3 linked regions of the Nothobranchius furzeri genome follow. The protein of the gene in region 3 purifies or fractionates together with the protein of the main gene of each other region. This does not show direct contact. Links are inferred from orthologs where the notes say so. Each region holds a gene or a part of one and is shown on either strand. Other genes may lie near its edges.

Region 1 (9,186 bases), about 6.5 Mb from region 3:
TGATACCTGTGACAACACGGCGCCGACTCCGGTGTCTGAGGCATCCACCTCGAGTGTAAACTGGAGTTGGGGGTCTGGGCGATGGAGCACTGGAGCATTTGTGAATAGTTTTTTCAGCTTCTGAAAGGCTGCTTCAGCCTCTGTGGACCAAACAAAAGGGCGGTTAGTGGATGTGAGGTTGGTTAAAGGTATGGCAGTCTGACTGAAATTTCTGATGAATCTTCTGTAGAAATTGGCAAAACCCAGGAATCTCTGAAGCTGTTTACGTGACGAGGGGGTAGGCCACTCTGTGACCGCCTGGACCTTCTCAGGGTCAGCCCTCAGTCTTCCACTTTCGATCACAAATCCTAAAAACTTAACAGTAGAGACATGAAAAACACATTTCTCGGCCTTCACATAAAGCCGATTCTCCAGGAGTCGTTGCAACACAGAACGCACATGCAAGACGTGTTGTTCCAGAGTCTTTGAAAAAATCAAAATGTCATCCAAGTAGACAGTCACGTACTTATTCAACATATCTCCTAAAACAGAGTTCACCAGAGACTGAAACACAGCTGGAGCATTTGTTAGGCCGAAAGGCATTACCAGATACTCAAAATGTCCTAACGGAGTCTTAAATGCCGTCTTCCACTCATCACCCTGTCTGATTCGTACCAAGTGGTACGCATTTCTGAGATCCAGGCGGCTAAAAATGGTGGCGTCCTGAATGGGTTCAAAAGTGGAGGTTAACAGAGGCAGAGGATATTTGTTCTTTACTGTTATTTGGTTCAATTCCCTGTAATCAATACAGGGCCTTAGAGTCCCCTCCTTCTTTGGAACAAAGAAGAACCCTGCCCCCAATGGTGAGGTGGACGGCCTGATAAGACCGGTTGCTAGAGACTCCTGGATGTATTTCTCCATGCTCTCCCTCTCAGGTTTGGAAAGGTGATATAGTCGACTGGAGGGAAGTGGGGCTCCGGGTAACAACTCAATGCAGCAATCAAAAGGTCTGTGTGGGGGAAGAGAAGAAGCACGGTCCTTACTGAATACCTGTCGGAGGTCATGGTAGGCCGGAGGAACGTTGGAGAGGTCAATCTTCTCAGAAGGAGAGGTTGTGGAATGTTGGAGAGTTGGTGCAGCTGAGCGAAGGCAGGCTAGAGAACACTCAGGACTCCATCCTTCAATCTGACTGGTTCTCCAGTTCAGCTGGGGATTGTGGTGTTTCAACCAGGAATGGCCAAGAACCACTGGAGACTGGGGAGAGGGAAATACAAAAAATGCCAGAAGTTCTGTGTGGTTACCTGACACCTTTATCTGCAGTGGGATGGTCTGGTGAGTGATGGTGGACAAACTGCGATCATCCAGAGACGAAACCGTGAGAGGAGAAGACAAACGGGTGGTAGGTATTTTCCACCTCTTTACCAAACCGACATCCAACATAGATTGCTCACAACCAGAGTCCACCAGAGCCTCTAACTGAAATTGTTCAGAATTAAAACACACAGTGCATGGAATTGAACAACGGGAGCTAAAAGAGTCTGAATTTCCGCCCACCAGTAGCCCCGGCTTTACTGATGGGCTCTCCCTTTTCCCAGAGCAGGACAGGCTCTGGCAAAGTGTCCGGTCTGCCCGCAATATAAACAGAGACCTGACCTCAAACGATGTTCCCGTTCCTCTGGGGTAAGGCGAGTGCGACCCATCTGCATAGGTTCATCAGCTGTGGGGGTCTCGGAAAAGGAGCGAAGACCACCCAGGTTTCGGTCAGGAATAGGAGCTGGACGGGCACTGCTGGCGGGGCGCCGTAGCTCCTGGTGACGTTTATCAATGGAGATGGCCAGGCGAATGAGCCCCTCGAGAGACTGAGGTTCGGGGCACAGCGCCAGCTGATCCCGTACACGAACACTGAGGGCCTCCGTGAATGCAGCCATCAACGCCTCCTCGTTCCACGAAGTCCTAGCTGCCAGGGTTCGGAACTCTACCGACATGTCTGCAACCGATCGTCGGCCCTGCGACAGGTTCCAGAGTCTCTTTCCTATATCTGAAACGGACTCGGTCTGTCCAAAAGTTAATGTAAAGTCCGCTAAAAACTCATCAAAAGGTCCTGCTAAAAAGGCAGCACAATGGCTCTTAGCTTCCGCCCACCGTAGGGCTCTTCCACGTAGCAGTCCAATAACGTAAGAAATCTTACTTGAGTCCGTGGGAAAGGCTCCAGGTGAGCGTTCGAACGCAAGCCGGCACTGGAGCAGGAAGCTGTGGCATTCTTCGAACTCACCGCTGAATGTCTGTGAGGGAGGAGAAATGGCTGGACGAAAATGAGAAGTCTCTGTGGGGACAGGAACTCCCGGTCCGGAAGCAACAGGAGCGGCTGCTTGAGGTTCCGACCTTGTAGTCTGTGGCAGCGGCTGCGTAACCCGCTCATGGATCTGCCGGACTAGGGCCTCCAACTGCTGGTAACGATTGTGGGCAGCGTTGAGCTGATCCATAAGCAGTGGTAATGTCTGCTCCTGTTGAGACACTCTCTGAAGAAGATCTGAGAGGGTTGAGTCTGCTGGGTTAGCGGGTTGGCGGGATGATTCTGACATGATCTGGGGAAGGAGTTTAACCCAGGACATGCAGAATCAACACACTCACAAATAAAGATCAAAAAAAAGGTATTTATTAGTAGACAGGAACCAAAAGCGCACTGGAGCTTCCAGTGGATGAGTAAAGTCCGTACTCAGCGTCTGAGGAGGGGGAGAGCAAAATAAGGTGAGTCCTGAGAAGTAAGTCTTAACTGAGGAGGTGCAGAGATAAGACTTACTGGGCGAAGGAGATGAGGAAAAATCGGGAGGGGCCGGTCGAGAGTTGGGTGAGTCAAGGTGAGTAAATCCAGGAGAGGGAGCTTGTGGGAAGCAGAGGAGTGGGGCGACTGGAGAGATGGAGAACACGGGAAGCTGAGTCCAGACTGTTATGTGGCAAAGGTGAGTTTCCTGATGAGTCACTGAATCCTGAGAAGGCTCTACTCCAGAGATGTTCCAAAAAAATCCTGAAGAAGATGTATACACAAAAATCCACAGCGAATAATAAGCCAAAAAAAAACACAAGAGGTACAAAGTCACTGCAACACTAGACGGCTGGAATATACCGAGTAGTAGTAATCATCCCGCGTTGAGGTGTGTTCTCCAACTCCTTAAGAAGCCAGTGCCGTTGATTGCTAACCAGAAGCAGCTGGGCGCCTCCCTCTCCTGAAAAACAACTCAAAGGTGGAATGTGCGACGGGAGTACTCACCCCGACTCATGACACGTACAGCTGAGGTCCAGACTCATAGATGACAGAATGCATTGACCAGCTGACGTGATTGGTTCATTAGATATTTGAATGTGTTGGTTGTACAGGTGTGCCTAATAAAGTGACCATTTATTATAAATATCAAAGTTGTTCATCAAATGACTTCTGCAACAATGAAGCATGACTTAAAAAAAATACTCAAGATGAAGATTCAGCTGCAGTAGAAACTCCTTTCTCCTAATCGTTCATCCCAGAGATCCCAGTTTTGCTCATTTTGGGTGATTATTTATAATTTGGGTCAAATCTAAATTAGGATTAAACTTTTCTTTCTTTAAACGATGGTGACTTGTTATTTCTTAATATTAAGTGTGGATTATGAATTGTTCAAACCAAATAATTCAATAAATGTGGCAGAAATAAAATTCTGGCATTTGAGATGATGAAAACATGGACAACAAATGTGCCGGTTAGTTAAACGTGCTTTTGTTTTTGCAGATGGAGAATTACGGTAAAGCGCGGACCGTAGAGCGGCCTTCAGTCTGTCCGTTTACCGACCTCTGCCCCGACACCCCGGAGGTGCGAGTTAAAGATGGAAGCAAGATCCGCAACCTGCTGCGCTTTGCTCTGAGTCGCCTGGAGGCCAGTCCCTCACGAGCTGAGGAGGAGGGACGGCCCACACCTGAGGAAGGAAGCGAAGAACCACCGGGCCGGCCGCTCTGTAAACAGATCGTGTTTACCGCCGTTGGGAAGGGTGTCTCCAAAGCCATCACCTGTGCAGAGATTGTGAAGCGGCGCCTCAAGGGGCTCCACCAGGTCACCAAGCTCACCTACAGCTCCGTGGTGGAGGTGTGGGAGCCGCTGGAGCCTGCTGCCGGCCTCGACAGCCTCACCGTCAACAGGAACCTGCCTGCCATCTGGATCCTCCTCTCCAGGGAGCCACTGGACTCCAACCAGCCAGGATACCAGGCGCCCGGCCGCTATGACGCCCTCTGGGCTCCGACCGCCAGCAAGGAGGAAGGTGGCGGGCCAACGGGACAGCGAGCTGGACACCGCAGGAAGAGAGGAGGATGGGGAGGAGGACGGGGAGGAGGCAGAGGCAGAGGGAAGGGGACCGGCCGTTAAAATTAACGCTCTGGTCAAGCACCAGAAGGACTCAGGTGTTTCTACAGCATGTGGACATGTAGGGACACTGGGAGGTTTAAACTGGTTTAGTTGGTTTTAATATAAGGAGGTAGAGGAGTCTGCTCCAAACCAAATGTTTATTTGGATTTGTTTTTCTAAGAATGTTTTACCCAACTTTCCTTCCCACCAACATGTAAGAGTTCATTAATGTCATCCATCTTCCATCGGAATCTGTCTCCACGACCCATTTAAAGTCATCCAGATGTTTGTTGCTCAAACAGCTGTAATCTGATGAGGGTTTTCATAAAGTTACATGAAGGTCTGCGTACAGCTCAGATTGTGTTGCACGGTGCTGTGTTCATATTGTCTGTGACCTTTTAACCGAGGACGAACATGAACGCACCACGGTAAAGATGGTGTTGAAGAGGACGGCCGCTCTAAGCTGACAAATGTTTCGGACAAACCAAACCTCCTTCATGCTGAAGAGTTGTTGATATTTTGGTGTTCATCATAAAGGAGAGCCATTTGTGTGATAGTCACGTAGAAAATAAAGCTTTCTTTGGCGTGCAAGTGCGTTTTTATTTTTGGTTCTCTGTGAGAGAATGAATGAATGAAATCTTTATTTCGAACATTATAATAAGAATAAAATAACTATTATAACAATAATAATAATAAAGTCATTGTAGACATTAAAATAAAATCACTGATAATCACACAAAAATTTAATTATCATATTCCTTTTGAAAAGGAGTAGGAGGAAGCTAGTGCTTTTTAAATCCTAACCCCCTTTTCCATTTGTTCAAGATCAAAAGGAACAATGTCGTTTTTCTAATTCATCATAAATTTTCTATATTCATCTATAGTCAAAGGGCCTATTTACACCATTACATACAAAATAGTTCCACATACCTTTTCCATTTATCCACCACACACAGCGATTAACATTCCCTACTACACACACTTACAACACACCCCATTTTCTTTTGTACACTTACACCCTCACACCACTCATTGGATCTTTTTGAGTCAAAATCCCTCTTCCTCCCTGTACCTCATGAAGACCATGTTTTTGTACCACTTTCTAAATTGGGTCATACTTGGACATTGCTTTAAATCACTATTTAATCCATTCCATAATTTTACCCCACAAACAGAGATGCACTGACTTTTTACTGTTGTTCGTGCGCACAGATGGGTATTTTAAATTCCATTCCTCTCTCAAATTATATTGTTTATATGAGAAATACTTTTGTGTAGGAGCTGTTGGTCTGCTAATTGCTAAAACACATTCATAAAATTCACATCGTTGCTGTGTTCTAAATGTTTTCATGAAAATGGAATGCCATGAACAACCTGTTTACCTGTTCCTGGATGTGCTATAGAGGGCGTGATTCATGGTTCCAAATTACTAAAATTGTCCAGGTCTTGAAGCTGCCCCATACCATCACACTGCCACCACCATGTCTGGCTGTAGTACTCCAGATGGAACTGGATGCACACCTTCCAGGTAGGCCTGCTTTTGTCTCTTCAGTCTACAGATTTATCCAGAGGTCTTTGGGATCATTGGGGTGTTTTTGGTGAGGCCAGCAGGGCTTTAGATGTTGTTCTGGATTTTCCTGTTCTTGAACATCTTTAGAAGAAGGCATGAAGGTTGCTTCTATCTTCTGACCTACTTTGTTTTGGCACACAGGTTCTTTTGGAATGGGTTTTAGTTCTCCAGGTCTGGTAGTGATCAGATTTCTCATTTCTAAAGCTTACTTATGCACAGAACGGTCTGGAAATCATATAAGCTCATTTTGGACATGGAAAATCTTGCAACACAGCTGGTTAAATGGTTGCATGACCACATTTTCACACCGTGACACACACACACACACACCTCAACTGTGAATAAAAATGCGAACCTGAACGAAAATACATTCATTGTACTTCACACACACACACACACACACACACACACACACACACACACACACACACACACACACACTCACACACACAAACACACATATATACACACACAGAGGGAGAGAGTGTATTGTGCAAAAGTTTTGGCAGGTCTGAAAAATGCTGCCAACAAAGAATGCTTTCAGAAATATAAATGATTGTCACTGAAAGAAAAGCCCGAGTCGAAATTGTCCAAATTGTTTTAATGAACCCCTGCTCTGTGTGTGGCTGGTGTGACTGAAGCAGATGGTGTATTTTTACTAGTTTAGTGCAATTTATCATATTTTTATTTTGAACTACAATCACAAATAAATTATTTAATCAACAAAACATACTTTGGTTACTTTCTACTCTGCTTGCATGCTTTATTATGGCCATGCCTCCTGAATTACAAGCAGTGTGGCAGCATGCAGCACATTTTCTACAAATGTTTTGTTAACACTGAAATTGCTGAAATTTATTTTAATTTTCAGTGACTTCCTGTTTGGATGACAAGGCTGTCACAGCGGCTCTTCTCTTCTTTTATAGCAGCACTGTCTATGAATGCTTTCTTGTTTTACTGTGTTTTTGGTGTTAATCTGTGGTTACTGGTGACATCTTGCGCTGCTGCTGATCCTTTTATCTCCTCAGAGGACTCGTCGCCTGTCAGCTGCTTACTGAGGATTACTCTTCCTGCAGGACGATCAGAAGTTTGCAATCGAAGCAGAGAATGGGTGGGTTTGGATGGGTTCAGGAAGGGCTGAAGCTACTGCTGGTCTGCTGGCTGGCAGGCGGATCAGTGCTGGCTCTGGTCCGGCACCCTGTGCCCGTGCTGTTGATGATGCCGGTCAGCCCTGGGCCAGGTCGAGAGAACCTGATGGCCAGACTGGTTCCAGCTGTCAGACTGGCTCTGCAGGACCTGGAGAAACAGCCACCACCACTGGGAAACTATGAGATCCAGTTCCAGCTGCTGGACTCACAGGTTGGTCTCCAGAACTAAAAGCCTCCTGATAAACTTTGGTCAGCTGTGTTCTAGATTTCACTCCAACAGATCTAAAACAAGTAGAATGTCTTTTTTTTGTAAAAATAAAAGGAACCAATAATTCTTCTAATTTCACATTTTGTTTAGTCAGCCTTGTTTTTAGTCAGCATTCATCTGTTCCAGCATTTCAGGCTGATGCACATTCCTGGTTCCAGTTTGGTTTTCCCTCTGATATTCTCGTTCCTTCTCCAACACGTAGACACATCCTAATGATACCAAGGGATGAAGAGTTCCAACTGTTATCTTGCTCAGTTCTCCCTACAAACACACATGATGGTGTTTTATTCATATTTTTCAGTGTGATCCTGCTAAAGCTCTAAAAGTCCTGTTTGACACCTTGTGGGCGGGGCCTAGGTACCTGTTACTGTTTGGGGGGATGTGTCCACCCGTAACGGCGCTCATCGCTCGTGCTCTGCCTGCTCTCAGCCTGGTTCAAGTGCAACATTTTTTATGTCATCACTCTGTGTGATCTGTTATCTGAGTTATCACCTCATTTTATTTTCCCATGGTTTCAAAGGTGTCCTTTGTGGCCCCGCCCCCCAGCCAATCCAACAAGAAGTGGTACAGGAACCTGTTCAGCACAGCTCCTTCAGTTCGAAATCTGAACCAGGCCGCAGTGAAGCTGCTGCAGCGATACAAGTGGAGGCGAATCGGGCTGGTTACAGAGGAAGAACCTGGGTTGACTGAGGTGATGGGAGATGGTGACCTACTGACCTACTGACAAATCTAAGATCAACACCAATTCCATCTATCATTTGAGCATTTATTAGAGATCTGTTTTAACAAAAAAACTACTTTGTGAAGTTTAATCAGTGAAACTTTTGTCTGAAACAACCCTTCAGAATACATTTCTCAGAATGTGACCTTTAACCTTTGTTCTGTGCAGATAACAGAATTGGAATTTGAACATACTCAGTTTGTTTAAAAATCACCTGGTCATTCACCTTTTCTCATCAGCAGTTCCTCTGGTACCTCGTCTGATTTCTCTGCAGATGAAGAAGGATCTGATCCGACAGCTGCTGAAGGCCGACGTTCAGCTCGTTGCTGCAGAAAACTTCTCTGACGATGCCTGCAGCAGCCTGAAGGAGCTGAAGGTAGCTGAGGGGCTAGCAGAGGTTCAGGATGCTTCATGTTCAGGTTTCAGTTCAGGGATCCATGTTTGTTCCGACTTTACAGAAACGAGATGTACGCATCATCATCGCCTTATTTGAGGATGGTTCTGTGTCTGAAGTGCTCTGCTGCGTGAGTGAGAGTTCAGACTTCCTGTTTCAGGATTTTACTGAGGCAGCAAAATTAGACACAAATAAATAATCCACATATTTAATCACAAGTCCAAAAAAACATGTTTCTGTGTGTGATGTTCAGGCCTACCGACTAAACCTGTTTGGACCTCGGTACCAGTGGATTTTTGCAGCTGGAGGAACAGCTGGATGGAGGCTGGGATGGCAGCCATCACATTGCTCTGCTCACAACCTGTTGATGGCGGCCGATGGATCCTTCAGGCTACAGGCCCGAGACTTCAGCACCAGAAACACACCAGGAGTCTCTGGACGGGTCAGAAATGTTCAACCTCTAATCCAGCAGCAAACTGTTCTGGATGTGAAGTTTATGTGACTCACATGGACACAAAAACAGGAAGTCTACCTTAAACAAAGATCTCGTTCACAGACTCCTCATGACTTCCAGGAGTCCTACCTCAAGCAGCTGATGCAGGAGGGGTCAGAGGGCAGCCCTCACCACACCTTTGCCTATGATGCAGTTTGGGTCGCTGCCAGGGCGCTAAGTCAGGTGATGGAAGCGGTGAAACTCCGAGAGAAATATGGAGCTCAGAGAAATGTGACGGTCAGTG
Region 2 (11,115 bases), on a different chromosome or scaffold from region 3:
TCCTAGAAACAAGCTGGTTGCGATAAAACGGCTCCTGCGATGCAAAAAGTTGTTTTCGCTTCATGCAGGTAAGGCCGGGTCACCTGTTACTGATCTCTGATGGCTCAGGAAACAGGTCTGGTACCTTGTGTTGCGTGATAATGTTCAGGGCAGCTTTTCCTATAGATCCACGTTCTAAATGTGCAGCCAGGAGGGTCGTGATTGTTCTCCGTGTCAGAAATGGTTTAATAAATGTTTTTCCGGTTTACGTCAGAACCAGAACTACACAGGAGCCGAGCTGCTGCCTCTAGCTTCACCTCCAGCCTTCAGCCAATCAGAACCAGCACCTGACTTCAAAAGGAACTGGTAGGCCTGCTCAGACCAGTAAAGCAGGATGGACAGACCACATTTCTAACCCCCACGGTCATGTGACCAACCCCTTCAGAACAGCTGGAGTGCAAGGATCCACTGTTTTTCTGGTTTTGAATGCAGAGCCAAGTTTACACTGTTAAAAAGGAGAAATCTTTATTTTTAAAAGGCCATTAAAATAAATACTTTACAGAAAGCAATGTAGAAAACTTGATACACGATCTCAAAAAAAAGGTTAAGTCATGTTAAAGAGGCTAGAGGAGGTATGAAGAGGGGTATCGACCGGTTTAGGAGAGGATTTCACCTCCGTTTTCTGGTTTGGTCCTTTAATGTCACTTCTCACCCCCCCTCCCACCCCATTAGGGTTTAAAACAAACAAGTCTAAAAGCACAAGGCTGAAGCTCAGGAAATCTGGTGCTGGAGGCAAAGTTTCACACCACGTTTGGATTAACAGCTCTTTATTAAATCAGCCTCACATGCTCCTGAACCGGATCTCTTCTACATGAACGGGTGAACGCTGCAGAGTCCCACTGGAGTCAGGAAATACTGGTCTGGTCAAACCCAGCGCCCCTGTGGGGTTAAAGCATCGAGTTGTGGAGTGTAAACTGTAGTTGCAACCAGGAGACACCCGAGCGGTGCTGCACTAAACACTTCAAGACACTGCTCATGTTCACACTTGTGATCAACCAGACAGGAGCGCCGGCTACAGAACAAGAACCACGTGCATCAGCACCGAGCCGCTAACGCTCAGGTGCTGGTCTGATCAAACTACAGCAGAAAGATGAAGCAGTTCATGAAAGGCCAACAACAACGTCAAGTGTCTGGATGTAAAAACTCATGATGGAATTCAAAGAAAAATAATCAGATCATAAAGTTAAAAACGAGATTTTACTTCTAAAATAAGCAGACTGGGGCAAGAAGAGCCTGTGGTATCTTTCTAGATCAAATCAGCCACGTTCATGGGCATCTCCTCGACGGTGGTGTTGTAGAACGTCTCAATGTCTCTCAGGGTTCGCTTGTCATCTTCGGTCACCATGTTGATGGCTACGCCCTTCCTTCCAAAACGACCACCTCGACCAATCCTGAAGGGAGAACCAAAAGCAGGATGAAGAGCTTCACCAGAACCAGGAAGAGGTGGTGCTGGTGGGGTCATAGTGAGGAAACCGCAGTATTTCTGCGAGTACCTGTGAATGTAGTTCTCTCTGTTGGTTGGAAGGTCGTAGTTGATAACGAGAGACACCTGCTGGACATCAATCCCTCTGGCCTGAAGGAGAACACATATGTTAACCATCTCCATACACACACACACGCCAGCTGCTGGACGTGTAACCCGCCATTCAGTTGAGAGCTTCAGACTTGAACCGAGTCACAGTGGAGGACGGGTGAGTTACTTTCCCAAAGAACAATCAGTCCTGCACCACCACCACAGATGGGAGGAGAGGGAACTCTGGGGTGTGTGTGTGTGTGTGAGAGAGAGGACGCACCAGCAGGTCAGTGGTGATGAGGACTCGACTGGAACCAGAGCGGAACTCCCTCATGATCAGGTCTCGTTCCTTCTGGTCCATGTCACCGTGCTGAGAGAGACAAAATAAACCTGAAACCAGCCGAGCTTCAGTCTGAATTTCTACGGAGGATATGCAGCGGGTCCTGGTTCCACCAGGCTCTGAGAGGCCGTTACCAGAGCAGAAACGGTGAAGTCTCGGGCATGCATCTTCTCAGTGAGCCAGTCCACTTTCCTCCTGGTGTTGATGAAGATGACGGCCTGTGTGATGGTCAGGGTTTCATACAGATCACACAGCGTGTCCAGCTTCCACTCCTGTACACACAACCAAGTCAGATGGTCAGCCCAGGTTCTACACACCCATAACAGACCATGCTGCCCAAGCTGGTTCACCTCCTTCTCCACATTGATGTAGAACTGACGAATACCCTCAAGGGTCAGCTCCTCCTTCTTCACAAGGATCCGGATCGGGTCTCGCATGAATTTCTTTGTGACCTCCAAAACATCAGCAGGCATTGTGGCCGACAGAAGGACAACCTATCAGCACCAAACCACGAGAACAGCATGAACACCAACCCTTTTCTACACCTAGACTGTGGTCTGAAGGTCCCAGCCCTCCTGGAGTCTTACCTGGATGTTGCTGGACAGTTTCTGAAAGATCTCGTAAATCTGATCCTTGAATCCTCGACTCAGCATCTCATCAGCCTCATCAAGCACGAACATCTTGATGTATTTAGAGGCTGAAAAACAAAACGCCGCTTTTTAAGTTCCTGTACAAATGCTAGAACCTGATGTTGAAACGCCTTCCTATTTTAAGTCCTCCTTCTGGGAAGTCACTTCAGACAGGACTTCTTGTTTTCATTCACACTAAGTCCAGAGAGCTAAAGGTACCTCCTGACACAAGTACTCAGAACCATGAGGGTGTGATCATGTCTCCAAGTCCCTGATGTTGTGAAAACCCAGGTCAGCAGAACGCTAGCCTGAACATCACCACACCAGGACGACTCAAGAGTCAGTTGACACGCATGGATTTCATCATCATACTGCACTTCCTGGGTTCAGGAAGTGATCTGTTAAAAGAAACAACCCACTAACCCAAAGAACCCGACCATTTGGTACCTTCTAGGCCTGGTCCAATACAAGTCCATCTACCAGAAGTGTGTCATTCCCAGAGACGGATAAAGTACTCACAGATGTTTTTACGTGTTATCATGTCAAAGACACGGCCCGGGGTTCCCACCACGATGTGAGGAGCTTCCGCCTGCAACTTCTGGACTTCACTGCGGATGCTGGTGCCCCCAATGCAGGCGTAGCAACTGGCCCCCATGTAGTCGCCAAGAGCCAGAACCACCTTCTGGATCTGCAAACACAAGCCAGGTGGTTTGTGAGGAACCACAACCCTAAACCAACGTCAGACTTAAGGTGAGGAAGATGTGGCAGCAATGCACTAAACTCACTAGTCACCCAGTCTGTCCCCACCTAGTAGTAAAGGGCCTACAACCCCCCCCCCAAGGTGCTTCACAACATGGTCATCCACTCATTTAAGCTGGCTTTCACGCGACCTTCGTCAACACTGTCCTTATTTTGCTCAACCTATCCCGCCTTTCCCAGGAGCCACTGATCGTTTTCCACCCCCCCCCTCCCCTTTTTTACATTTTTAAAATCACAATTTTGTATTTTGGCATTTAACTCAATTTCAACCCAAGTAGGTCTAGTGGGTGGGCGGAGGGAAGAGCGATGAGGAGCTCTTGCTCATGCTGGGCGAGCCAGTTTTAAGTCCCTTGGGTCAGTTCAGTCACAGGCCTGTTGAGAAATCAATAGCCAACACCCTAACTGGTGTGACTGGGTCCTTACCTGCTGAGCCAACTCCCTGGTGGGAGCCAGAACCAGAGCCTGGGTGCCTTTCAGCTCTATGTCGATCTGCTGGAGGATGGAAATGGCAAATGTGGCAGTCTTCCCAGTGCCAGACTGGGCCTGAGCAATCACATCGTAACCTGGAGACCAGAGAGACGGAAAGGGTTTTCAACTAAACTAATCCAGATCATCATCACCAACTCCACTCCAGCTGGCTGATACGGGCTTGTCCTAAAGGTGCAACATTAGCCACATCAGGGCTGATGAGTCATCGGTACGATGATGTTGTGTAACCAGTCAACCACACAAGACAAAACAAAGCTGCTGAGATTTTAGTTAATCTAAGGAAAACACTAAAGTGCACCCTGAGGCCAGTCCTCTTACCTACCCTTGATACAAGGGAGAATAGCTCTTTGCTGGATAGCAGATGGCTTCTCAAAACCATAAGCATAGATTCCCCTGAGCAGAGTTTCACGCAAGTTCATCTCATCAAAACTGTCCACGATCTGGTTCCAGTTGCTCTGGGAGACAGAAACAAGGCAGAGTGACGTCAATATTTCCTACAAATGCTGATCGGATGAGACCAAGACAGAATCAGCAACAAGGCCTTAGAATCAAAAGGATCCTGTTCATTTTAAACTCAGTCCAGATGGAAAAGCTTAATCTCTCCTAATCATACAAGGCAGTTACTGCACATGTGAAACATCAAATATGTAAAAAGCAGGAACACATCTACGTCAGAAACCTTTAATTAGTAGAAATTTTTACCTCGATGATGCCATCGGGCTCCATGCCCTCGGGGCCATTGTCTCTGAAACCAAACAATGAATATTCATTAAAATCACGGATCCATCATTTCTCTGGGTTCCGTCAGCAGACGGGTCCGGTAACGGGTCCAGAACGATCGGAACCAGCCCGGTAGTCTGTAGAACCGACCGAAGTCGTTAAACGGTAAAGCGACCAGACTGGATCCTTCAACGGAGTCCGCCATTTTTATCGTAGGCCGCATTCAAGATGGTCGATCCGACCAGCTAGCAAAGGCACTGAAACAGGCCGTGGCCCGGAAAACATTCGAGTTTACGGTCAGATGAAGTATTTAACGAGCAAAAACGGAACATGACGTTCCGGATGGCAACGGTCCAGCGAGACAGAGTTAGCTTGTAGCCACGGCCTGCTAACTTAGCTGGTCCTAAGCGGGCCTCTGGGTCTCTACCCAAGGATACAGCTAGTAGAATCCATCACCAACAATTTCCTTGCCGAGGGAAACCGTGAGGAACGGATTAGGGTTGCTCCAGCGGCGGCAATGACAGAAAAATGAAAAGTCGCGTTAGCATGTCCACCCTCCCAGTTAGCGCCGCCATGTGCACCGATCACCGAGGCCAGAACATCTAACGCCTACGCTAACGGGAAGGCTGCAAATGGTCGGTTGTACGCGAGAAATCACAGACGGAACATCATTTCGCTGGTTTTGGTAACGGAGTGACGGCAGACACCCTAAACTACCAAGTCGGCGAAGGCCTGGAGCCCTCACGTGCTACACGGAACCGGCAGCCTTTTCTTTTTTCTCAGGGCCGACATCTTTAATACACGTTCACTCTTCTGGCGAATACAAATACGCGATTAAACCTACAAAATCAACTTTTGAACTGGTTTACCTAAGTGATATCAGTATCGATCAATAAGACTGAGATTCTAGCATCACCACTGAGAACAGGCCTCTAACAAGGCTAGTCCTTTTAATAAGCCACTCGCGGTGCCTCAAAGTCTATATTACGGGCGAGTTCCTAGTCACCAATTCTCACAATTCGACACAAAAAACACAAACGGCAATAAATATCGTAAATAAAACAGTATAATATTGTTTGAACAATTCGTTATTTCACTGACCTGTTATCATATTCAGCCGACATTATTCCAAAGAAAGAATCCGGGGCAGAAAATTCTTATATATGAAGAACTCACAACGTCGCATTTTCATTGGACAACATCACCGTCACTTTTCTGTAGACCCGCCTGTCGAGGTTCGTGATTGGTCCACTCCTACATGTATTTTTAAAAGGCGGGACTAGGCGGAACTTTGCTTTCCACCAGAAAGAGGTAGGGATCTTTTTCGTTTAAACGATCAAAAACAAACATTGACAAGAACGAAAGTCTATTAGAGATAAAAAATCATGGTTTGTTACTGAGAGCGAAGCGGGACGCGGGGACTTGATTCAGAGCTGACTTCAAACCTTTACTGTAAGAACAATAATGCCCAAAAAGGGCAAAACGTTAACCGCAATAGTAAAATAAATGCGAAATGTTGACCTTTAATGGCTGATAAAATGGGTCAATAATGAGAATCATTTTCAGTTGAACATTAACTTACACCGCACATTCAGAGTTTATTCATTTTCTAAGTTATTGTGAGGTTGGACTCTTTTTACAGTGCATAATTAGTACATCAAATGTATTGTACCAAAGTGTTTTATCCCTCCCAAAATGTTGTAAAACAATTACAAAAATGTATTTTCTTATAAACATTTCTGCAGTTCTAATAAATTGTCACAGTAATTCTTTTTGACAGCAGTAATGTGTTGTTTTGTCCTACCTGTGCAGGTCAGCTGAGCTCTGACCTCAGTGGCGATAGTCCGTGCTCCCTACATCTGTTATCTGTAAACTTTCTCATTCTGTCTGTTTTGGTCAAAGAGTAAAGGCCACTTGAATCTTCAGATATGTTAATCCATAGATGTTTAAAATCACGTTTCACCACAAGTGTAAATGCTGCGGTCGAGTCCAAAATCAACACATTTAGGATGAATCATTTTTAGTTCACTAAAGCAAGAGTGGCTCAGAATGGCCGGACCTGCTGGAAGGTTCTGTAAGAATATACTCCACTTGTTCGGGTCATGAAATGTTTTTTTATGTAAATTATGAATGATCATCTAGGGATGCACCGATACGATACCAATACCAGTATCGGTAAAAGTTAACCGATACCAATGCAGTTGCTTGAAAATGGCTTCACTGTAACTTGTCATTTCTGTTCACCTAATATTTTGGTTTTGTGATGATTTCTTTTCATATATTTTACTTTTTATCTACCTCACAGTCCTCCTGTTGAAAGCAGAGAAGAAAATAAAATCTGAATTCCAAATCATTGCATTTTTTTGTGTGGTAGAAGTATCGGTAGTGGTAATCGGTATTGTGAGTACTCAGATCCAAGTATTGGTATCGGTTTGGAAAAAAGTGGTATCGTTGCATCCCTATTATCATCACACTGACTTTATGGATGACTAGCTACTCAAGCTTTAAATACACAGTTTGTTTGCCACATGTTTTTTTTATTTTAGCAACCATAATGCATCATAGAAGATATAGAAAACAACTCTGTTGCATCAACTGAGGAAAACAGGATGCAAATCTAAAAACACAACTATCCACAAGTATGATGTTTATTTTGTGTATATATTTTTATATATATATACACTGGAACAAAAAAAAAGAGAGAAAGCACGTAACTCAGTTGTGGACATATGGTGCCTGTTGTGTAGCTGCTGTGGTCCCCACCAAAATGGCTTAAAAAAACCTAAAACATTTTTTAGACTTACTGCAAAAGAACAGAAAACGTAGTCCGTTTCAACACCATTAGTTCAAAGCAATACGCATTTCACCACATTTACTGACAGGAATAAAAACACAGTAAAAAGACAAAGTAGAGGCTCCCCTCACTCTGGGTCTTTGTTTGGCTGCCCTGAGACGCAGAAACAAAAACTCACATTACTCAGTTACATTTGTTACTGGAGAAGGCAAAAAGGTTACGGTGCTGGAGCCGGGGGGGGGGGTCTGGCTTGTCCGCTGACGGTGAAGCTCAAACAAACTTCTTATGAAAACCCTCTCCTGGCAGCATTTACTCCAAGATCCAGGCCCAGCGCTGACCCAGCTGAAGACATCGATGAGGGGTTCGGATCAAACTACACAGAGAAATGGTACCAACACAAACTGACATTGTCCAAAAACTCACTCTAGCATTTTATTATGGGTGGCAATATTGTTGGTTTTACAAAAACAAAAACCGTGAGGAGCATGAAATGATGACAAACTAGAACCGCCTCCTCTAAACCCTTATTCGTGCTTCAGAGTCAACAGTAGGATGAACAATAAGCTCATTCCCAACATGGATGCTGGTCTTCATCTCTGGCAGCTACTATACAGGAACTACGGCGTTAAATTCAAACCAACTTTTCAGAAGGGTGAACTGAGGGAAGCAGACTAAAGGAAAACGGTGACAGTGGATATGCAAAGTGTCTTTTCTCAGGAGGAGTCAACAAAGGCTTTGTTTAGTCCTTTCTCCAGCCCATCAGTTCCTACCCTTGTCCTTCAGTTGTTTCATCACCTCTGTGTGGTTGGGATGAGGGGGCTAGAGGTGAAAGGTCACAGGGTGAGCTTGCAGTGGCACAGTTCTTTGTACATTTGCCTCCTGAGCTGGGGCATGTTCTGCTGCCCGAAGCCGAACGGCTGTCCTAGAGCCAGACACTTACAGTACTGCGACAGGGAGGAAAAAGAACAGACACAAGTTACTTTTATGCATTCACCTCCTAACAGCACCAAGGCACGCTCACCAGGAAACGCTAACCCAACGCTTCATGTCTGTGCTGCAGACGGCTGCAGGTTCTAGGTTTTACTGGACAGTTGTGTCCCACTCAGAGCAGCGCGGTTAGGCCATCTCCGTTAGTAACACGTCTGTAGTCACCGCTCTTTTTTCACACTTGAATCGATGTGGTTCCAGGCCTAACGACCCGGGCCGATAACGGTGAATGTCGGTCAGTGTTTGGCTAGGGGGTGGAGTCCGCCTCGCTGCCTGCAACCTTTTCAGGGTCTGACAAAAAGCAACTGACTGAGCAGAATGTTCGGCATCACTACCGTGTTCTTCTCTGTTGTGTTTTGTGTACAAATCACCTCGCGGTACTGATGTGCTGGGTCGCCCACGCCCACCCACTGCAGCCGTAGTGGAAAGCTCCCGTTACACAAGGAACTCAGACACATTTCACTCATTCTGAAATGCATTTGAGTGTAAAAACAAACAATCCTTTCTTAGCCAATCGCAGCCAAGCGTTGTTGTGGTTAACGTGTTGGTGCGGCTGTTTAAAGGGACATTATGGAAGTGTGACAGCCAAAACATGTATAGAAATAATAAATGTCTTTTTCATACGTTCTCCTGCAATGCCCTGGTCCTGTAGAATGAGCCCTGGCATTTTTACTGTGATTGCCTGTTTTTCTGTAAAATCACAGAAAAAGAGAGATGCTCGGGTCGAGCAGGCTGCTTCATGCGCGTTCACGCTCAGGCATCGCCCGTAGCATTTGCTATCCGTAGCTTTAGCAGCAGAGAGAGAGGCAGTGCCACTTTGTCGCTGTTCCTAACGCCTAGTGACAAAGCTAGCTACATTTCTGAGGACCCTTAGCTACTTTCTGTAGAACTTTCTTCTAGATATTTCCTGCTAATTAGCAACAAAATAGCCATTTTCACTCCGAACCGTTCTTTGAACGTTGTTTCAGCTGCAATCAAGGATATAAACGTTACAGATACAAAGGGTGTCACTGGCGCTTTAGCTCACCTAGTAAGACGTCGGACTCTTGTGTGGGAGACCCGGGTTCGAATCCAGATGTGAACATATTTACTTGAGAGTTTATTTTTTACATTAATGGTATATATTTTTACAGTAAGATGTACAAATTTTTATTTGAGACTTGCCGATCAGCATTGAATTCACAGATAAAAAGTTGTGGGTTCAACTTTCATTTTGGAACAATTTTTCAAGCAAGGGAAGGGAATGATCTGAGCATGCAGGAGGACTGACCCATCATAAACCTTTGTCGGCTGTGCTGAAGAGAAAGGTACAGAACCAAATTATTTAATTAATTAGCTGCGCGTTCTCCTGTCCTCCGGGCCACACACACACACACACACACACACACACACACGACTGTCTCAGCTGTTATTTTCGTTAAGGAGTGTGCACGTACAGCATGCGCGCCTCGTGCACGAGCCTACTATTGAAGCTGCCGTTACGCTTTTGGCCTGAGGGGGCAATCGCGAGCATAAAAATTCAAAAGTCCGTAAAGTCCCTTTAAACATAGGTGCACATCAACTCGGCTCCAGGACTTTGGGTTCCACCAACAAAGTGTCCCAGCTGATCAGCGTGTGATCACAGCTGATGGGAAACCAGGAGTACTGGGCAACAAGGGTCTGTTTAATGGTGCAGCCTGTATGTGTGATCAACTACTGGGACTGGTTGCAAACTCACCTGTAGTACAAAAGCACCACAGTCACTGTCGTTGTTCTGGCGACCCACATTCTGTAAAACACCAAAACAACATCAGTATCCAGGAGGTCAGAATATCACCGCTCAGCAGCTACAGAAGGAAACAGTCCAGCTTTACCATTTTAAAAAGGCCTTTCCACCCCATCAAAAAGTCAGGTTTGTCTTTTTTGATGGCTTCAGCTTGAAGGTACTTGAAAATATGCTGAAAAAGAAAATAAATTAAGTCTTTGAAAATCACAATCCGATCATATCTAGTGCACACGACTTGGACTAATCTAACCTAATCATAAACCCACCACACCAAATTAAAAAGATCCATAGTTCATACATCACATCATTTAGGATTCTGTATTACTGACATCTATAGAGAAGTGGAAGTTCTGCAGCATAGCTGTTGTGTGTTTTCAGCTCTCAGACCAGACACCTGCCTAAAGCCGGGCGTACACTGTGCGACTTCTTCACTTTTTTGAGCCGATTTTCCACTCGTGCGAGAATCCACGACATCGGGGCGAGTTTTGCGCCGAGCGTCGTGTAGTGTACAGGGGGTTACGAGAGGCGATTAACACCTCGTGACCAGCTACCGATCAGCAATCGTGAGCTCGCACGAACTTCTGGTGTGTTTGATATTTTGCTCGGCCCTCGTGAGGGTATCGCACTGTTGAAGCGGCGCTGCGAGCAGCTGCGACCCAAAAAGTACCAGAACCGCTCACGGCGCATGCGCAATCATGCATCAACCAGGGTATCTGCAGGTTTAAGGGAGCCAAATTTAAGACTTTTTAAGACCTTTTTTAAGGCCACTTTGACCAAATTTAAGCTATTTTTTAAATTAAATTTAAGCTATAATTTCCAGCTATTGCCTGGAACCGGTGCTAACCACATCGTGAACGTGGGATTAGCCAGCCAGTTACCATTAATGTTGCACTTCCCCATGGTGCAAGCTCCCACTAGCTTAACCAGCTAATGTGCTCATCTAAAAATAGCCCCCTTTCACAACCAGCTGAGTGTGTACGGTTCCACTTACGGCAACATCGTACACAAAAATGCTGAACACCAACTAGAAATTCATGAAAATTTCACAGTAATAAAATAATTTTGTTTATGGGTTTTTGG
Region 3 (10,176 bases):
TCACAGAGTAAAAGTTCGACACACACGTTTGTTTATCATCTGGCCGTTGCACGCTGGGTGGGGGGAGGGGGACTTGGTGCTGCACACAGACAGCTGGTGTGATCGGCCCTGAAAAACGTTGATCACAATTTAAAGATCACGTTTATTTTTCACAGAGATCGGCCACAGATTCCTCTTCTGTCGGCATACTAGGATTCAAAACTAGGAATCGGAGAAAAAAAAAAACTGAGCGATTCCGGGAAAAACTAACAGTTGGAACCGGTTCCAATCGATGCTCGATGCCCAACCCTAGATTGTGGAATTTTTACCAGTCCTGCAACTCCTGTTTTAATAAATGCGTAAATGAATAAAGGTATCAGGAATTTTAATCCCTGATGTGATTATTTTCTTCCCGGTGTATGATTTTGTTTCAGATCCCAGCAATGCAGAGGCGTGTCATCACCCCGTACCCGGGCGCACCGGACCTGACTTTCTACGAGGAGGATTTGGACTCGACGTTTAGCCCCAAACCAGAGGCAGAACTGGATCAGTCTTGCAGGTACTCAGATAGATGTGTTCATGTCTGACCTTAGCGGTGTGATGTGGACCCTACAGTAACATTTATTAGTTATGACTTTGCTGATGTAAAACGCCAAAGAAGGTTGTGTCCCTCTAATAGGTTGACGAATATTTTTAGAATAGAATTCAATTCAATTCAAGTTTATTTATATAGCGCCAAATCACGACAAGAGTCGTCTCAAGGCACTTCACATAATAAACAATCCAATTCACAGTTCATTAAGCCAATCAGAAATAATGTTTCCTATATAAGGAACCCATCAAATTGCATCAAGTCACTGACGAGTGTCAGTGACTATACAGCAATCCTCATACTAAACAAGCATAAAGCGACAGTGGAGAGGAAAACTCCCTTTTAACAGGAAGAAACCTCCAGAGAATCCTGGCTCAGTATAAGCAGCCATCCTCCACGACTCACTGGGGATCAAGAAGACAGCAGAGCAGACGCACGCACACACACACACACGCACACACACGCACACACACGCACACACACACACACACACACACACACACACACACACACACACGCACACGCACACACACACAGAGAGAGAATAGACTTTATTGATCCCACAGTGGGGAAATCCACTTGTTACAGCAGCACCAACACTTAGAATAACTTGAAGAAAAATCATAACAAAGGTACACATAGGCAGTAGTTACTCTTACTGCAGAGGGGATGAATGACCTACGGTAGCGTTCTGTTTTACATCTGGGATGTCTCGGTCTGCCTCTGAAGGAGCTGTCCATGGTCTCCACAGTGGAATGCAGTGGATGGGAGGGTTTTTTTTTAAGATGATGGTCATCCTCACCAGCATCCTCCTTTCACACATCTCCTCAACTGAATCCAGTGGGCAGCTCAGAACCGAGCGAGCTTTGTGAACTAGCTTGTTCAGTCTCTTCCTGCCTCAGTCAGAGCTTTAGCACTGAAGGTTAATATAAAAAATCAGACTGAATTAAACTTTACACCCATCCTGTGATGCAGTGTTTGACTGGATGCTAGCATGGTGTCAGCACCAGTGTAAACGTGATTCTCTCAGGAGCATCGTAAATGTTGTGAATGTTGTCCGTCCTCAGGGAAATCCTGCTAAAGAAGGCAAAGATGAAGGCTAAAAAGAAACCAAGGAGACGCTCTGACAGTTCAGGAGGTTACACTCTCTCTGACATCATCCAGAGTCCTCCTACTGCAGGTGAAACTTGATGTCCGTTTCTGTTTAACAGCAGCATGCTGTTGGGTAATCTGACACATTGTCACCAACATTCCTGTTGTCCAGCGGTGTCTCCGCTCCTGGTGAAGTCAGGCAAGGCCAACTCCACCGAGTCCCTGCAGGAGATCCTCACGTCTGACTCTGAGAGCAGCTTTATGGGAGTCGGCAGTCCCAGAGATGTTCAGTCACCTGTGTTCCCTGACCGAGCTGAGGTTTCTTTTACATATTTAAGATTTATGCTCACAGTGTGAAAATCTAGTATCTAATCTTTACATTTGATGCGACTTGGGTAGCTTTAGATGTATTTAGTCATTTCTGAAGGTTGGATGTTTCCAACCCTGTACAGCTGGAATACAGATCACTGAGAGGATAGGTGTGGGAGTCTGAAGGTTTTTATTATTCTGCAGGATGACAGAGCTTTTAGTCAGAGACTGAAGAGCCCCCCCAGCACCCCAACATCCCTGAAGAGCAGCGTCCCCACACTGTCCTCCTCCACTCCACAAATTATTCACAGGACTCTTCCCTGGTAAGGAAGGTTCTAAAGCTCTGCACATTTATAAACACTTCATCTTATTACACTAAAACAAATTAAAGTTGAAGATTAAATAGTGGTTGCAGCACAACTTGTAATTTCTGTAATTCTGCCATTTTGCATGTTTTTTTAAAACAGGGACTAATTTCTACAGTTTGATAATTCAATTCAATTCAAAAATACTTTATTAATACCAGAGGGAAATTGATTGCTGTGGTAGCTCAGAATAATAATAATAATCAAGTCATCAAAGAGTTGTTGTATATTACAATGGCTGTTGGCAGGAAGGATCTCCAGTAGCGGTCAGTGTTGCAGCGAAACTGAAGAAGCCTCTGACTGAAGACACTCTTCTGTTGTCGGACAGTCTTGTGAAGAGAATGCTCAGGCTTGTCCATGATTAAATAACAGCGTCCTTTTAACCGTCTGCAGCCCAACTCGTGCATCCCCAGTGTTGGATCTAAGGACCATCATGGACATGGAGGCCAGCTTCCTGCAGACTCCTGGTGCTTCTCCTAAAAGTCCTGGAACGTGAGGAGGGGGTTGACTGCTTTTATTGGATTTTTTTTAACAAAGGATTTTATTTGATTATGTGATAGTTTACTTCAGCTGTACATATTTACCCGTCTGACAACAGCAACATCAAACACTCGCTGGTTTCCACTAAACTGTCCCAGAAGCAGAGGAAGCTGTTGGCCATGGCCAGCAAGGAGGCCAGTGGGGAGCCTCCAGCCTCCAAACCAGCCCCCACAGGAACTCCGTCCAGATGCAGCGAGAAAGCCTGGTGAGAATGAACGCTGACCTTTTCCAACAACTATCCTTTTGATATGTTGATATGATCTACAGGTGGATTCACTTGCCAACCAGCATTCTGTAGTGCTTATATATTTGTTTGGTTTTTGTAGGGCGACAGCTGTCCAATCCTCACCATCCTTGTGTTCATTCCGGGCTCTTCTGGAGGAAGAAGAAAACTGTTTAACAAGAGAAGGACAAACAGGAACACAGAGAGGCCAAAGTGCCCTGGGCCCCCCGGTCAGCGCCACACCTGCTGCCAGGAGGGTCACGTTAAAAAGTACAGAGAGCAGCGAGCCAGAGAGACCTGCAGGGTGAGCAAATCCCTTCTACACAGCAGACGTGGAAATAAAAACAACACACACACACACACACACACATTGCACAACTGAAGTAAAAAAAAAAACATTTTTTTGTTGTACTTGTTATGCTTAATTTACATAACTGCTTTTTAAAAAGTGTTTTAACACTTTTGAATGTACACAGATCCAAACCAAATTATGAAATGGATTATTTTTGCCTGTGCCATGTTCTTCTTTGGTGTTGGAACACTAAAGCAGAAAGAACTAAAACTACTTCCAGAACAGATCTCATTTCGTTCTGTACCTATGATCTCCACTTGAAGGTGCTGTTGAGATGTTTGAGACTTCTGTCCCTTGATAACATCAACTTTGCACATTTTTTATATTTTAGTCTTTCCCCCTAATCTCTCACCCATAAGTTATTATTTTTACTTTAGCTTCATTTTTGTGTCTGAATGAAAACAGAAATATTATGCTGTGGTGGCATAAATGTTGTTTATTCTAGACTGGAAAAACAAAAAGGGATGTGTGTGTGTGTGTGGATGTGTGTGTTTTTGTGTGTTTGCTTTTATATGTTTAAGTGAACTTTAACCTGTATTGTATGGACATTTCCACACTGTGGGGATATTTTGCTGGTCCACACAGTGCTGGTGTGAATTGGCTTCTAGTTTGGATTAGATTCGGGTTATTGATAGAACCACATTGGTTAGGGTATGGGTTAGACTTTGTGGTCACAAAAATGAATAGAAGTCAATGGATGGTCCTCATTATGACAGAAGTGTGTGTGTGTGTGTGTGTGTGTGTGTGTGTGTGTGTGTGTGTGTGTGTGTGTGTGTGTGTGTGTGTGTGTGTGTGTGTGTGTGTGTGTGTGTGTGTGTGTGTGTGTGTGTGTGTGTGTGTGTGTGTGTGTGCGTGTGCGTGTGCGTGTGCGTGTGCGTGTGCGTGTGCGCGTGCGCGTGCGCGTGTGCGCGTGTGCGCGTGTGTGCGTGTGTGCGTGTGTGCGTGCGTGCGTGAGTGAAAGAAAGAATTTGTTGACTAAGTCTGGTTAGACAAATAGAGTGAGGTGTGGTGTTCCACTCTGAGAGGTGTGTGCAGCTCTGAGTGACCGGTACAGCTGGGTTGACCTGCCTGCAGACCCAGAGTCACTCTGACCTTTGCTGACTGCTAGAAAAACACAGTAAACACACACCATACACCCTGACATGCTAAAAGTCAGCCCTGGTTTTTATATGCTTTTATTTTCTGATCTCGGCTGTTTGAGACCAAAAGCCTAAAAAAAAAAAAGAAAATTCCTCAGCGTGCTGCCATTTCTGACGATCTCCGTTTATTTAAGGTCTTGAGAGAAAAGCGAAGGCATTTCCAGTATCTTATTCTCACTGCTGTATTCCTAAAGCTTGGTGCTGCGATGATAAAAACAGACTTGTGGATATTAAACAGCTGTGAGATTCAGTCAAGTGAAGCCGCTGATGTTGATCAGAAATGATGAGGGCAGTCCTCATGTCACTGTGGATCACACAGAGCAGAGAGCACGTTTCAGCTCTTCCTGGGTTTTTGGATGAGCAGAGACAGACAAGTTCAAGGCTCAAGAAGGACCAGCAGTAGTCAGCCTGCTGGGACAGATATAATAGAGATCCCTTTCCAGTCTTTGATTTGACCAAACGGCAAACACTTTTATTTCTTATATGATCTCTACAGATGTACCTTTTGGCCATATTACTACACTTGTCTTATGTATAGCACGAGACCCAACAGGGGCCAACAGGAGGCACTCTGACCAAATGCTCGAACCACCTTGCCTAGATTCTGTCCACGTTGAGGTGCCGTGAGCCCGCGACTGTACTCTGTCTCTGCTGGATGTCTGAGCTCCTCACCCTGTGGCTGAGTCCAGCCATCCTATGGAGGAAACTCATTTTGGCTGCTTGGCTTTGCGATCTTTATGCCATTACTCAGAGTTCATGACTGTAGGTGAGGACTGGGATCACCATAGCGTCCCTCACCATAGCAGACCGGTGAAGGAGCTAAGCCAGAAGCCCGTAAACACAGCATGCTATATGCGACTTCACTTCTTTGCACACAGGTAACTTCAGAGCTGTAGACTGGAATGGAGTCTAAACATGATGATGTTAGGATCCTCTCAAATCGAGGTATAGAATTAGATCTGAGCCTTAACATCTTCAGTGTGAACTTGTACTACTTCAGTATAATAGAGTTTGGGATTAAAGTTATTTACCACCTTCTGACTTTGATTGTGTTTGAACTCCAGCCGTTATCCAACACACAGGTTTGTAGCCAGGTAGAGACACGGACTTTACCTCATAGGAGCTTCTCAGGAACGGTCGACTCAACCTTTGCCAAGTCATTCAGACTCTTGCTGCTTTCACTCTAAATGCTCGGCCGCTGATGCTCTGTGTGTTGCCCGTATCTGCCCTCAGGCCTTGGGTGCTGGGTGCTGTGGGCAGCCCCCCCCTCGCCACCCTGGTGACCTTTGCCTCCATCGTGGAGGAGGAGAAGCAGCAGGAGGCCGCTCTGGTCCGCAGCCGGGAGAAGCCGCTGGCTCTCATCCAGGTAGGCGCTCATGTTCTCACACCCTGCTGAAGAGAAGCTTCTGCGTCCAGCCTTAAAGCAGAGAAGCTGCTGTCTGGTTAATGTTATCCAGTAAACAGCAGTTCTGGTCAGTAATAAGGTCCCTCCAGTGCTGCTCAGCTCTCTCTACATACAGGCTGCTGCCATCACACACCCCCTCCCATGGGACTTCCTAGTTATCATTATATTAAAGACTCTTATTACCGTTAAGCTGTCAGCATTTATTATTTTTCCCACCAGCAAGCTGAGGTTTTGCTGAATGTTTCATCTGATTCCAGCATCTGTGGCTGTTCTTTTCTTCGTAGATTGAAGAGCGAGCCATACAGGACCTCCTACTCCACTACAAGGCACGGGACAACCCAGATGAGCTGATAGTAGTGGAGACAACTCCCAGAGGTCCCATGGCTGCCCCGACCTGGCACAAACACTGATCCATTAGTTCTGTTGAACGAGGAGCTCGGAGAGAATCTCCCCTTCTCTCCTCAAGTGTTGCTTTCATCTAGTTTAATAGCTGCACAGAGTTTCGTTTATGTGATGGAAGGTTTTCTTTCAGAGGTTAGTCTCTGACCATCTGATTACTCACGCATCGCTCGGCAAAAACTACACATGGTACGGTCAGCAAGTTTAGGTTCATGGAGTCAAATGAAGTTGCCAAAGATTGAGAAGGAAAGTTGATGCTTAAGCAGCTAGAAAATGCTCAAAACTCAAACACAAAGTGTGTGTGTGTTTTTCTGTTTGTGTGTGCGTGTGTAATAGGTGGAAGTTCCCTGTGTGATTAAGAGTGCCATTGCCTAACTGGGTATTTATCTGCTTTACCTAATGAGTTATTTTTCCTGACCTGTTTGGCTCTTCGCCACAGCTGAAACATTTGCAAACGTTTTCCTTAAACAGGAATTTATCACAGAAAATGCTAAAACAATTTGGTGCAGACTTGACCGTCACTCTTAGACTTTGATGCCATTTAAAATAATGATATATTTATCTTGAAAAATCCATTCAGTTGGACCACCGATTCTCCTGTTTAGATGCCATCTTTGTGTTTGTTCACGTGTCTGAGACCTAAAGATGTGAAGAGAAGCTGGCATGCAATAATAAATCATCTCAACTGTGGAATGAACCTGGCTCGTTTGTATGCTTCCTAATAGGTTTGAGTGATTTGAATGAAGGTAAAAAAAGAAAGTACTTGCGTCAGTAATTTGCTACTTTTACAACATCTGTCCAGAATGAGAGAAAGATCATTATCAAGTCTCCACCCGTGATTAACTCTGATGACCCTGATCTCCACGGAGAGCCAGGTGATTAAAAGTAGAGCATCACATCTGAAGTCAGAGAGGCGGCTCATGAGGGAAATGTTAATCACAGATTAGGATCCATTAGCCAGCGCATGATGAAACGTTAAACTAACAGGACAAACTCTTCCTTTTGACATCACACTAATGCAGCGTTAATATTTCTAAAGAGCTGCTCATTCTGTTTGTGCCCTGAATATCAATGCAATCTTTCAAGTGTCAGAATGAGTCTGTGGGGCTCAATAAGCAACTTTAAGATGATTCTGGAGAGTCTTGGTACTTTTGTGTGTGTGTGTGTGTGTGTGTGTGTGTTTGTGCGCGCAGATTCTACCTGCAGCTTCCTAAAATCATGTGTAAGTAAACTCAAGCTGATTTTGTTGAGGCTAAAGAAAGCCAACGTGATGGTGCCTGGGCGTTCTGTGTGTTCTTTAAAGTTTCAGTTGAGATCTTCCTAAAGAGACCACACTGCTTGTGTTCTGGTGGAGCTCTAAGCTGAGGATGACCATAGGCAAACACCTGGGTGTGGATCAGAGATGCTCTGTGTTCTCTAAGCTGAGTTTGACCCATCTATTCATTGCATGATCCTGCTTTTCTGAGAGCGAAAGGTTGCATCAGGTCAAGGTTATTTCTCTCAGAAGCTCTGGAACAGAAAAGCATTAGCAGTCCTGATATGGAGCAAAGCAATCCAAAGCTCAGAAGGAGGTTTACTGTCAGGCATGCAGCAGCTGATCGTGCAGCTAAGGCCTCCACGTGGAACACCCCATTACAGATGGGAAAATAAATGTAACTGACTTTAATTGCTTACATTTTTTTGAGTTTGTTCTGATCTGCAAAAATTAGTTCTAACCTGCGCCCCATACTGAAGGTTAATCTAACAGTTTCTTTTCCATTGCAACAGAGTCCAAAAGGGCCTTTCGAGGTTGTTTGCAAAGCTTGCAGACCTGCTGATTCTTGCTAATTAGAAAATACATTTGAAGTCGGTGTGCTCGTGGAATGGCTGCCTTTTCAGCATGGACCCCCTCCCTGCTGGCTTCAGTCCTGGACCATCAACACCACAACCATCAAATCACATTGGAGCTATGTCTCCAAGTGCATTACATAAGCTCCACTGATATCAATTTGCAGCAATTCAAAGACTACAGCAGCTTAATGCTGTATCTTATTTTTTCTTAGCAGATGCCCCACATTATTCCCATCATAAAGACTTATAGACTCATATATGAATGTGAAAAAAATGAACATTCAATAACTTGGTCTGAGGTGAATAGTTATGTTTATTACATGATCCTAAACCGTTTAAAGCGAGATGAGAATAATAGCCATAATGTTACAGGGTTACAAGTAACTTTGGTGTAATGAACTAAAAAGCATGAGCAGTTGTCAAATCATCTCAACAAGTCTGTCTTGGGCAATCTTATTAAAGTTTTCATAGACATAAATATGCCCTACAGCATCATATTAAAGTTGAACAATTATCCAAGATTAATTTTAGATTGAATTGTTGGTTCTACATTTATAAATAACATATGAACTCAAATTCCATCCATCCATCCATCCATTTTCTGCAGCTTATCTGGAGTCAGGTCGCGTGGGCAGCAGCCCAAGTCGAGATGCTTAGATTTCCCTCTCCCCAGCCACTTGGGCCAGCTCCTCCGGGGGAACCCCAAGGCGTTCCCTGGCCAGCCAAAAAACATAGTCCATCCAACGTGTCCTGGGTCTTCCCTTGGATCTCTTTCCAGCTGGATGTGCCCAGAAAACCTCACCAGGAAGGTGTCCAGGAGGCATCCTGACCACATGCCCGAGCCACCTCAACTGGCTCCTCTTGATGTGGAGGAGCAGCAGGTCTACTTCAAGCCCCTCCCGGATGACCGTGCTTCTTACCCTATCTCTAAGAGAGAGCCAAGCCACCCTGCAGAGAAAACTCATTTTTGCTGCTTGTATCTGGCATCTCATTCTTTAGGTCACTACCCAAAGCTTATGACCATAGGTGAGGGTAGATCAACTGGTAAATCGAGAGCTTTGCCTTTAGACTCAGCTTTCTCTTCACCACAACAGATCGGTACAGCGTCTGCATCAATGCAGATGCAGCACCAATCTGCCAATCGATCTCATGCTCCGTTTTTCCCTTACTCATGAACAAGACCCCAAGATACTTGGACTCATCCACTTGAGGCAGGACCTTGTCCCTGACCTGGAGAAAGCATTCTACCCTTTCCCAATTTAAGAACGTGGTCTCAAATTTAGAAGAGCTGATTCTCATCCCAGCCTCTTTACACTCAGCTGTGAACCGCTCCAGCAAAAGCTGGAGATCACTGTCTGATGAAGCCAATAGAACCACATCATCTGCAAAAAATAGGGACTTGATCCTTAGGCCACCAAAACAGATCCCTTCAATACTCTGGCTGCGCCTAGAAATTCTGTCCTTAAAAGTTATGAACAGAGTCGGTGATAAAAGGCAGCCTTGGCGAAGTCCAACTCTCACTGGAAACGAGCCTGACTTACTGTCGGCAATGCAGACCCAGCTCTGACACCGGTCATAACAGCCCTTATCAAAGGGCCTTGTACCCCATACTCAAGGATTAACCCCCACCCCCCACAAGGCCCCACCCCGGGGGACGCGGTCGATCGCCTTCTCCGAATCCACAAAACACATGAAGATTGGTTGGGCGAACTCCCACGCACCCACCAAGATCCCCCTAAGGGTATAGAGCTAGTCCAGTGTTCCACGGCCAAGACGAAAATCACTTATCTCCTTCTGAATCTGAGGTTCAAGTATCCGACAGACCCTCCTCTCCAGAACCCCTGAATAGACCTTACCAGTTTAGGCTCAGAAGTGGGATCCCCCTGTAGTTGGAAAATACTCTGCGGTCTCCCTTTTAAAATAGGGGGACCACCATCCCAGCCGCGTTAAC

What was found.
Region 1: the proteins of ibtk (region 3) and rpp25l purify together in Homo sapiens (co-immunoprecipitation; 3 studies listed by BioGRID and IntAct, with this or other methods). This does not show direct contact. The link is inferred for Nothobranchius furzeri from reciprocal best matches to the Homo sapiens genes IBTK and RPP25L.
Region 2: the proteins of ibtk (region 3) and eif4a1b purify together in Homo sapiens (co-immunoprecipitation; 4 studies listed by BioGRID and IntAct, counting the BioPlex papers as one, with this or other methods). This does not show direct contact. The link is inferred for Nothobranchius furzeri from reciprocal best matches to the Homo sapiens genes IBTK and EIF4A1.

The regions. Positions count from the first base shown.
Region 1 is NC_091745.1:59,615,492-59,624,677, reverse strand, and holds the end of rpp25l (ribonuclease P protein subunit p25-like protein), read left to right. Parts: intron 1-3,742; coding exon 3,743-4,369; 3' UTR 4,370-4,939; downstream 4,940-9,186. Other genes in the region: gamma-aminobutyric acid type B receptor subunit 2, read left to right, coding at 7,026-7,277, 7,636-7,773, 7,855-8,025, 8,330-8,431, 8,514-8,579, 8,703-8,891, 9,006-9,186. UniProt on the Homo sapiens protein: May be a component of ribonuclease P or MRP.
Region 2 is NC_091743.1:86,634,558-86,645,672, reverse strand, and holds eif4a1b (eukaryotic translation initiation factor 4A1B), read right to left. Parts: upstream 5,699-11,115; 5' UTR 5,614-5,698; coding exon 5,591-5,613; intron 4,515-5,590; coding exon 4,472-4,514; intron 4,225-4,471; coding exon 4,092-4,224; intron 3,844-4,091; coding exon 3,704-3,843; intron 3,210-3,703; coding exon 3,041-3,209; intron 2,894-3,040; exon of another isoform or gene 2,753-2,893; intron 2,590-2,752; coding exon 2,480-2,589; intron 2,387-2,479; coding exon 2,243-2,386; intron 2,165-2,242; coding exon 2,027-2,164; intron 1,923-2,026; coding exon 1,833-1,922; intron 1,613-1,832; coding exon 1,533-1,612; intron 1,431-1,532; coding exon 1,286-1,430; 3' UTR 1,241-1,285; exon of another isoform or gene 919-1,240; 3' UTR 488-918; downstream 1-487. UniProt on the Homo sapiens protein: ATP-dependent RNA helicase which is a subunit of the eIF4F complex involved in cap recognition and is required for mRNA binding to ribosome.
Region 3 is NC_091745.1:53,126,113-53,136,288, forward strand, and holds the end of ibtk (inhibitor of Bruton tyrosine kinase), read left to right. Parts: intron 1-413; coding exon 414-538; intron 539-1,638; coding exon 1,639-1,751; intron 1,752-1,835; coding exon 1,836-1,981; intron 1,982-2,176; coding exon 2,177-2,295; intron 2,296-2,730; coding exon 2,731-2,829; intron 2,830-2,935; coding exon 2,936-3,082; intron 3,083-3,203; coding exon 3,204-3,404; intron 3,405-5,824; coding exon 5,825-5,957; intron 5,958-6,280; coding exon 6,281-6,406; 3' UTR 6,407-6,636; downstream 6,637-10,176. UniProt on the Homo sapiens protein: Acts as an inhibitor of BTK tyrosine kinase activity, thereby playing a role in B-cell development. Down-regulates BTK kinase activity, leading to interference with BTK-mediated calcium mobilization and NF-kappa-B-driven transcription.